2 linked regions of the Arabidopsis thaliana genome follow. The protein of the gene in region 2 interacts with the protein of the main gene of each other region in a pairwise test. Each region holds a gene or a part of one and is shown on either strand. Other genes may lie near its edges.

What was found. Proteins that work in one complex are often made in the same cells at the same time.
Region 1: the proteins of AT2G30120 (region 2) and BIM1 interact in binary tests that used the Arabidopsis thaliana proteins (3 or more experiments, as listed by UniProt).

Annotation. Positions count from the first base shown.
Region 1 is NC_003076.8:2,608,106-2,612,204, forward strand, and holds the start of BIM1 (basic helix-loop-helix (bHLH) DNA-binding superfamily protein), read right to left. Parts: upstream 2,146-4,099; 5' UTR 1,990-2,145; exon of another isoform or gene 1,810-1,989; 5' UTR 1,467-1,809; coding exon 1,430-1,466; intron 1,299-1,429; coding exon 1,197-1,298; intron 781-1,196; coding exon 379-780; intron 278-378; coding exon 175-277; intron 91-174; coding exon 1-90. UniProt on the Arabidopsis thaliana protein: Positive brassinosteroid-signaling protein. Transcription factor that bind specifically to the DNA sequence 5'-CANNTG-3'(E box). Can bind individually to the promoter as a homodimer or synergistically as a heterodimer with BZR2/BES1.
Region 2 is NC_003071.7:12,859,933-12,864,031, forward strand, and holds AT2G30120 (protein FLC EXPRESSOR), read right to left. Parts: upstream 2,040-4,099; 5' UTR 1,931-2,039; coding exon 1,404-1,930; coding exon of another isoform or gene 1,400-1,403; exon of another isoform or gene 1,287-1,399; coding exon of another isoform or gene 1,274-1,286; exon of another isoform or gene 1,269-1,273; coding exon 1,093-1,268; intron 1,007-1,092; coding exon 915-1,006; coding exon of another isoform or gene 897-914; exon of another isoform or gene 747-896; coding exon of another isoform or gene 675-746; exon of another isoform or gene 558-674; coding exon 468-557; 3' UTR 215-467; downstream 1-214. UniProt on the Arabidopsis thaliana protein: Transactivator required for FRIGIDA-mediated activation of FLC and for the expression of the repressors of flowering AGL27/MAF1 and AGL31/MAF2. Does not alter expression of known activators of FLC expression.

The DNA.
Region 1 (4,099 bases), on a different chromosome or scaffold from region 2:
TCTTCTTCATCATCTAAATCATCTTCCTGTGAACTTCCTTTTGCTGACCTTATCATGTCCATGAAGCTCTGGCTCTTAAGCACAGACCCTCTGCAACCAAAGTAAAACTTTAGTTGATCACTCTTTAAAGTCCATAGACCGAGTTATATAAAAAAGAGAAGATATGAGACTAACTGAGAGGAAGAGAGAGAACTGAAACCGCTCATATGGTTGTTTGTCAAAGACTGGGACCGTCTCTCCGCCACTGGCCATTGTCCCACAGTTGCTGCAACATCAGCTACACATTCAAAAAAACTTATATTTCATCATTCCATTGATTTCTAAATACTACTTTAAAACTAGTCTAAATAAACATCACGATTCAAGTTTTCTTGTTACCTCTCATGTTTACTCTCTCCCCAACACTATTCTCCTTCCTTGTCTGTCCCTTCTTCCCAGAAGCAGATTCATCCCACAGAGTGAACCCGCTTGATGCAGCGGCGTACGAGCTGCAATTAGAGTTAGAATTCTCATCCAAAACGTTTCTCTCATTAGCATTGAACATCATTGGTGGTGACAACTCCGGCTTAGGAATTCTCTGATGATGATGATGGAAGTAAGGAATGGGGCTAATCGTATAAGTCCCTATACCACCGGGAAGCACGTGCTGCAACGGTGGAGGTGGAGCAGGGGGCGGTGGCTTCTCGGACGCTGTAGTGGTAGAGTTAATCCTACTTACGTCTTCTTTAGCACCAACACATTCTAACGGTTGAAGAAAATCATGGGTTTTCAAGTGACTACCTGCTTCACGTACCATCAAAATTAAAAACATAAACTATATGTTAGAGAAGTAAATCCCTAGATAATACACATTTTCTTATACATCAAGTTGTATGCATTTAAACGCTTATAGTAATTAACAACATTTTGTTATTTATGTGATGCAATTCTAGGGATCAACATCATGAGGGTTGAAAGATATTTATTTAATCGAAGGCAAGGTTTAACGACATGTGTAGACGAAAAAGAAAGAAAAAAACGGTCCCAAAATTCCATGGGCTTTAAACACAGATGGGCCCATTAGGACCCAACAAAATAGCAACATTTTGATCCATGATTCGTCTTAAAGTCAGATCAGATGCACGCGCGAAAAAAACGTGACCCCTTTTAAGAGAATCTTAAAGAAGAAAAAAGGGTAAAATGGTAAAAAAAAATACCTTGAGAAGAAGGTGGTGGTGTTGGCTTTGGATCTGGGTGGACGGTTGAATGACTGCAGAGCGATAAAAAATCATGTGTTGGTTTTCTCCCTGTGCGAAATTCTTCTTAATATATATATCAAAATTCAAAAAAATACATAAATTTAAAATTATGAATCTTGTAGAAACTAAACACTCTGTTTTAAAATAAAATAAAGGAATTGGTAACAATAATATCTGATAATGGTGTTTACCTTGGGTTTTGAAGGGACGAGGTTGAGGAAGCTCCATGAACGACAGAGCTTCGACGGTTTTTGAATTCTTTTTAAATTATTCTATTACTAATCTGTGCGCGGGAATTATCGCAAAAATTGGCTAGCAGCTCAGATCTGCGACTTGTAGCAGCTGATTCAAGAGATATTGTGGTTTTCGATGGTTGAAGAAGCGGAATTGAGCTCTGAAGTTGCTGAATTATGCTTTCTCTGTATCTTTTTACCGATAAAAATCCTCGAATTTGGTCAAATTCTGCTCGATTTAACCTAAATCAGCCTCCGCCGCAACTTTTCTCAGCGAATTCCACAGAATTCAAACGGGAGAATCGGCAGAAGTCACCAAATTCGTGGAATCGATAGATCTGTCATCAGAATTGGGTAGAAATTCAAGAGAATAACCATAATTCAGCGGAATTCATAGCTCAAACCAACTCAATTTCGCATAATTCAAGTCAACCAATGAACATGGAGATACAAAAACTAGAATCCAAGTCAAATCTCTAAAGAACACGAATGGATTAGATTTGAGCTAAGAAGCGTACCTTCTTCGACAGCAAATTACGTGAAGCTTTTGGCGTGTCAAGGTACTGTTGAAATTACGCCGACTACTATCATGCGTCGAAGTAAATGCAATCAAAAGGAAATCAGTTAACTAATTAAAATGGTAAGATATGTATGATTAATTAAGAATCTCATGTATCTGATATTCAAGTCATCGTACATTCTTCTATAGCCTAATACCACCAAACCTAAATGAACAGTGCGAAAAGGAAAAATAAAATAAAGAAGATTTTGTGTCTCCGTTTAGAAAATCATGCTTATAAAAACCTCCATGTAAATAATGTAATCAGACCACTGTATTACGTGGTCTATGTTCGTGTGTACTGAATGCGCATAACTAGACGACTTGTTTAATTGGTAAATTGGAAGGTAATTGGTAAGTTTGACAAAGATACGTACTACTAATTGATAGCTAGGCTTGGCTGCAAACAATTACCAATTTAATAGTAAATTTAGTAGTAGAAATTCTGCTATAGATGATGGAATATAGGGGGACAAGTATGATTTTGTTCGTACGTGTATGCGTCTATGTATTTGTGTGAGTGGAGATATATGTAATGTATGTGACATTAGGTGGAACAAAGACAGCTCTTCCGCCTTTAACAAATTGTCTAAAACCCATAGTTAAGAACCTGATCATGTGAGCTAAGCGCATTTTTATATTTAGTTGAATGCCACTTGTTACAAAATCACTAACTTATAAGTAAACCAAATAGACGACTTACAAATTACAGTACTTATTTTAAAAGTCTTGTTAGCATTTACTAAACTAACATATGTCTAGTACTGTATATAATTTGAATTATATATTCGAAAAAAGTCATCTCTTAAAACCAAAAATAAAATGATAAAATATCTTTAGTCCATTTGTATTCAAGCGAAAATAGTTATGGCTTTCAAGTTTTTGCAAGTACGTATATACTTGATTAAATTACTTAAGATTTTCAGTAGTTAAGAATTAAATTTACTTACGAGTAATATTTATTGCCCTCCCCTAATGCTTACAATCTAGTTAGTTTCTGAGTACTACATCTTTCCAGTAGTCATGAGTTTAATCTGAAGATAGAAATAATAAATTGAAAACAGAGATGGAGATGATAGTGAGAAAGGAACTATAGCTAAATAGTGTTGGATCACATGAAGTGAAAAATTGTACAAAATAGGGAAAGAGCAAAAACAATTACACATCCCCACATGCCTTCCACTTTGTCTCGTGAGTTGTTAGGTTGTGCTTAAACACGCTTTATTCTCTGTATTTTATATTAACCCCATGAATTGTATTATATTGATTTAAAATCACTCGCAATCTCGTGGTTCTTTGATGAAATGTATTATTGTTATTCGAGATTCGGTTTCTCTAGAGCACAAGTAATTGGTTAGATACATTAAAATCAAAAACAAAAAAGCAAATGGAATTGTTAAGATTTTTACACGTTTAGATGAGAAGAAAGAAAGAAATCAAGGAAAGTAAATAAAAACGAAATGGTCAATTCAAGTGAAAGGCGAATAAGAGGTTAGTGTGACGTCGTTTTCATGATGTAGTGGGACCACGTGAACTGACTCTGCAACTCACGTGAGAGAAACACTGTAGAAACATAAATAGATTTTCGAAAACATTAACATCAAGGGCAATTTAGTAACAATACTTCTTGACTAGAAACTTGGAAGGCTAAGGGTTTTAGTCGATCGAAGAAAGAAGGTTTCCATTCAGTCTCATAAACTGTTTATTGATATGCCACAAACCGACCTATCCTTAACCATTCGTGGTTCGGTTGGGCACATCATGTTCTTCCCGTCTTACGTAATTCAATCAATAAATAATCATTCAACTTGAGTTAGTTAACAAAATAAGAAGAAGCATATCAAGTAGGTTTCAACTTCAAAAGATTAAGATCAAAATAACTTATATAATACAAAACATATTTTCTTTAATTTCCTACGCATATTATAAAACATATCCATGGAATTAATTAGAATAATGTATAGGAGAAAATCATTCGCGGAGTCACAAGATTTCTTAAACATATTTTTACATATTTAATCCAATTTGAAGTAAATCAATGCGAGATCTCATCACAACTACTCACCAGG
Region 2 (4,099 bases):
ACTGAGGATGAACTCGAGTGTGTAAGAGGTTGCATGGAACAGAACAAACACACTCTGCCTTTTTCTTTATTCTTTCAAACAGTTGGTATTCAAGAAATTGTAGAGAAATAATGCACTAACAAAATGTAGCAGAGATTTTTCATGCAAAGAACCATCAATATGTCTGTCTAAATACCTTATATATTCAAATTTAATATGTTGGTAAGTACAAATCAAATGGAATAGTTTTAAAAATTTGTAATTCTAAAAGGACCACAAACTCTTGTCCTTGTTTGTTTATAGTTGGATGAGGTATGTAAATTAATGTAAACCTCAAAAATCGAACTGAGAATACAGAGTAGAAAAATTCTTCGAACTTCAATCAAATAAATTATTTGGTTGAATACACTCGCTAAATAAGATACACTAAAACAAAAATTGTCAAATCAAGTATATGGCTGGCCTATTCAAACGTAAGCAAGACACTATCACAACACACTAGAATGTTGAGTATTATTCAGAGGATGCTGCAATGGAGTAGATGGGTCTTGAGAGAGACAATCCGATGCTCTATATGCCTGAAGTGTATATTTGTGTGATGTTAAACACTACTAGAATCGAACAATGTTAAAGTAAAACCGCAATCTTATCATAAGCGTTGAATTCAGTCAATTATGAGTTTACAACAATTCTCACTAACCAACGGATACTTGTACAAGTTGGACACTTACTAACCTATGAACATAACTTTTTTCCCTGAGAACTAGCTATTTTGCTAAGATATCAGTTCAGAATGTAAGACAATCAGAACTTGGTATGCCAATCATTACAAACAATTAGTCCAATCTTCTCCTTCTCCATAATAATGCTAAATTAGGAGAACTTCTAACAGATGATCACGTAAAGTTACTACTTATCTATAGACTCATGTGTACCTCATGAGTACCATTAGCCTCCGGGTATTGCCGGCCTTGACCTCCATATATATCATCGGTGTTGTTTCCATAACTTGCAGCCAATCCAGGACCTTACATCAACAAATCATCAAAACTATAAGGTGGTTTTGCAGTTAAACTGTGTAAAGCAAAAAGCTAAAAAAGACAGAGAAATTACTTGGGGTTGGAGCTGCCTCAGCAGCTGCATTTGCTTCTCTAGCTTTAGTCTCCAGATCAACCAATTCTTCCTCAAGTTTTACAATCTCTCGATTCAAATGATCGATAGTCTTCTCCATACCGCGCTCATGGTGAAGGTTACTAGCTCGTGTCTTCTTCTCCAGCTCAAGAGCAGCCCTGTTTCATATCCCAAACCTCAAACAAATTCATTACTACTCCATAAGCATCCAAAAAACCATCATATGAGTATACACTACAAGATAACAAATCCAATGTTCCAACAAAAACAACAAAGAGAATTCAAATTTTCACCTTCCTTTACGAATCTCTCCTCGAAGAATCTCAATCTCCAATTTAACCTCAATAGCTCGATCCGAATTCGGTTTAGCCTTAGCCATCTCATCATCAAACATAGCCAATTCCGTAGCTAACTCCTGTCTATCACTACCTAACCTCTGTACATCAGACCTAACCTGACCAAGCTCAGCTCCAAGTCCATCAATCACACGAGCCTCCGCCTCCATTCTCAACGCATTCTGATAAACCTCACGCACTTTAGCTTCTCCTTCCGCTTTAACTTTAACAGCGGTTTCAAGTAACCGTTCGAGCTCACGCTTAGCTACATTGAGCTGGTCTTTGAGTCCGATGTGTGCTACAGCTAATCGTTGATTGTCGTTGAGAAGAGATTGGATTTCACGGTGTTGGATTGCGATTCGATCCTCGAGGATTACAGATCGAGCTCGATTTCGATCGGATTCGATTAATTGAGATTCTAATAATCTTGAAGATGATGAAGTTGAAACTGCTGATGATGGAATATAACGATCTCGTCCGGCCATAGTTTGCGATCTCCGATAATCTTCTCCGGTTTGTGAAAGTACTTCCCTAATTGAATTATGGTCGTTCTCTCTGTCAAAAGCTTTTTTATTCCGAGTTCGTTGTTAAAATAAGCCGTACCATCAAAAGCTAAACTGCGCAGCGCAAAAAAAAAAAAAAAAAAAAAACGTTATGAGCCCAAACTACAGTTATGATATGCTTGATTAAGCCCACTTGGACCAAACTAAGCCCAAATCAGAAAATTTGAGGCCGATTCAGACGTTGAAGGAATAAATTACTAGATACCTAGAGAAAGTATGTGCATCTTAAACCTTACCAAAAAAAAAAAAAAAGTATGTGCATCTTAAAAATATTCATATTAGTTTAAATATTCAAAATCTATTTACTTTTAATTAAACAAAATTTAAATATAAATTATGTGTTTATAAATAAGAGTTTGAATTTAGATTTTACAATTAAACGAGATTAATTACATTTTTGTTTAAATTTTGTATAGAAAGATTAGAATTTAAATTTTACAATTAAATAAAATTATATGTCAAATTATAAATAGCACCAATGACATTAGTTCAGTATTTTTTTAGATTGAAATGATTCAATTGGTAAAGAAAATATTTGTAGAGTACTCCAAGATAACACATATCTAATGGTAACCTATTTATATACAAACCGGAATAAATGAAAAAATTAGTCTTCTTTAACATTCTTAAATATATAATCATATTCATATGGAAAACAAAAAGTAATCGTAAATTTGATTATGAAACTATATAGTCTAAGTTGGAAATTCTAATAAATAGTTTATTTTTGAAAAAAAGAAAAACAAAATCCTATACAATCTAATTTTGTATCGCCAAATATTACATTTATTAGTGTTTTTTCTAACGATATACAAGTTTTTACTGACAGAAAGTGATAATCAATGATATGCTAATTGATATCGAAGGTAGAGTTAAAACTGTAAAATAAGAAAAGACGAGGCGGCAAGAGCTAGAGTCCAAGTCTACGGATTAGCACGAAGCTCTGATGTTTCAGATTGCTTCTTTTTGTTTCTTACAGAATCTTACAGACTTATTAAATTCCGACATAAACAGAAACTCATTTCTTTCACTCATTCAACTAAAGTTTAAGCAAAAACCAAACCCTCAGGTCTTTAAAGTTTTTTTTTTTTTTTGTCCCAACTCTTCAACACAAAAGAGACTTCAATAAATTTTAACTGAACTCAGTCAAACATTGCTTCTTGTCTCCTCCCCCACCGTTTCCAAAGATTTTATTTTTTTCTTTGGGTAAGAAAATAAAATAGAAACAAAAGAGCAAATACCGAGAACCGAATCTTCCATGTCATCTCAAAGCATTTAATGATGTGCATCGAGTCTCACATGCTTATTTTTCTCCGAGGTGCCCAAAGATGTCTGTTCTCTCTTCTTCTTCTTTTTTTGTCTTCTAAAATTTTGATTAAATGTTTAGTTTAGAGAATTATTTAGTTCTTCTTTCTTTTGAATGATTCTAAAATACATTAGCAAGAAGAACCACTTCCCAATGTGACAGTTCTAATTCTAAAATATATCCCTCCATTAACACCTAAACTATTTATTCTTCCTCTAGAGTGGTCCTATTAACTGAGTCATTTTCTTTTCTATAATTCCTTTTAGTACTAATTAACTATATAGGGATTTAATGATCCTAAGCTCAAATTATATTTCCACTCGGACTTTGCATAGTTACAAATTTTGTGGGGTTTTTCTGTTACAAAAATGAAGAAGAAATACCGAGTTAGCTTTTTTTAAAAAAATTTAGCTTTCTGTTTTCCTTATATTTACTAATTCTAATAAAAAGCAAAATAATATCCAAGTCTTGACACTTCTAATCTTACCGTAAAAACATAGAGTAAAAGTTAGAAATAAAACACTGAAAATTAGTTATAAAAAAAATCATCAATTGACGATGTTGGTAGATATATCGAAATTTGGTCATTCAACTATTTAAAAATTCATTAGAAAAAATATGCTGATCATAAATATTAAATTGTAGTTCTTTTTTATATAATCATTTATTTTGTTGATTAGTAAATTTAAACTTACAACCCAAAAAAAAAAAAGATGTAGTTGACTGTTGGTTTAATTTGTAGACTTAGTTACGTTAGGGGTTGATTGTGATTTAGTCACTTAGGT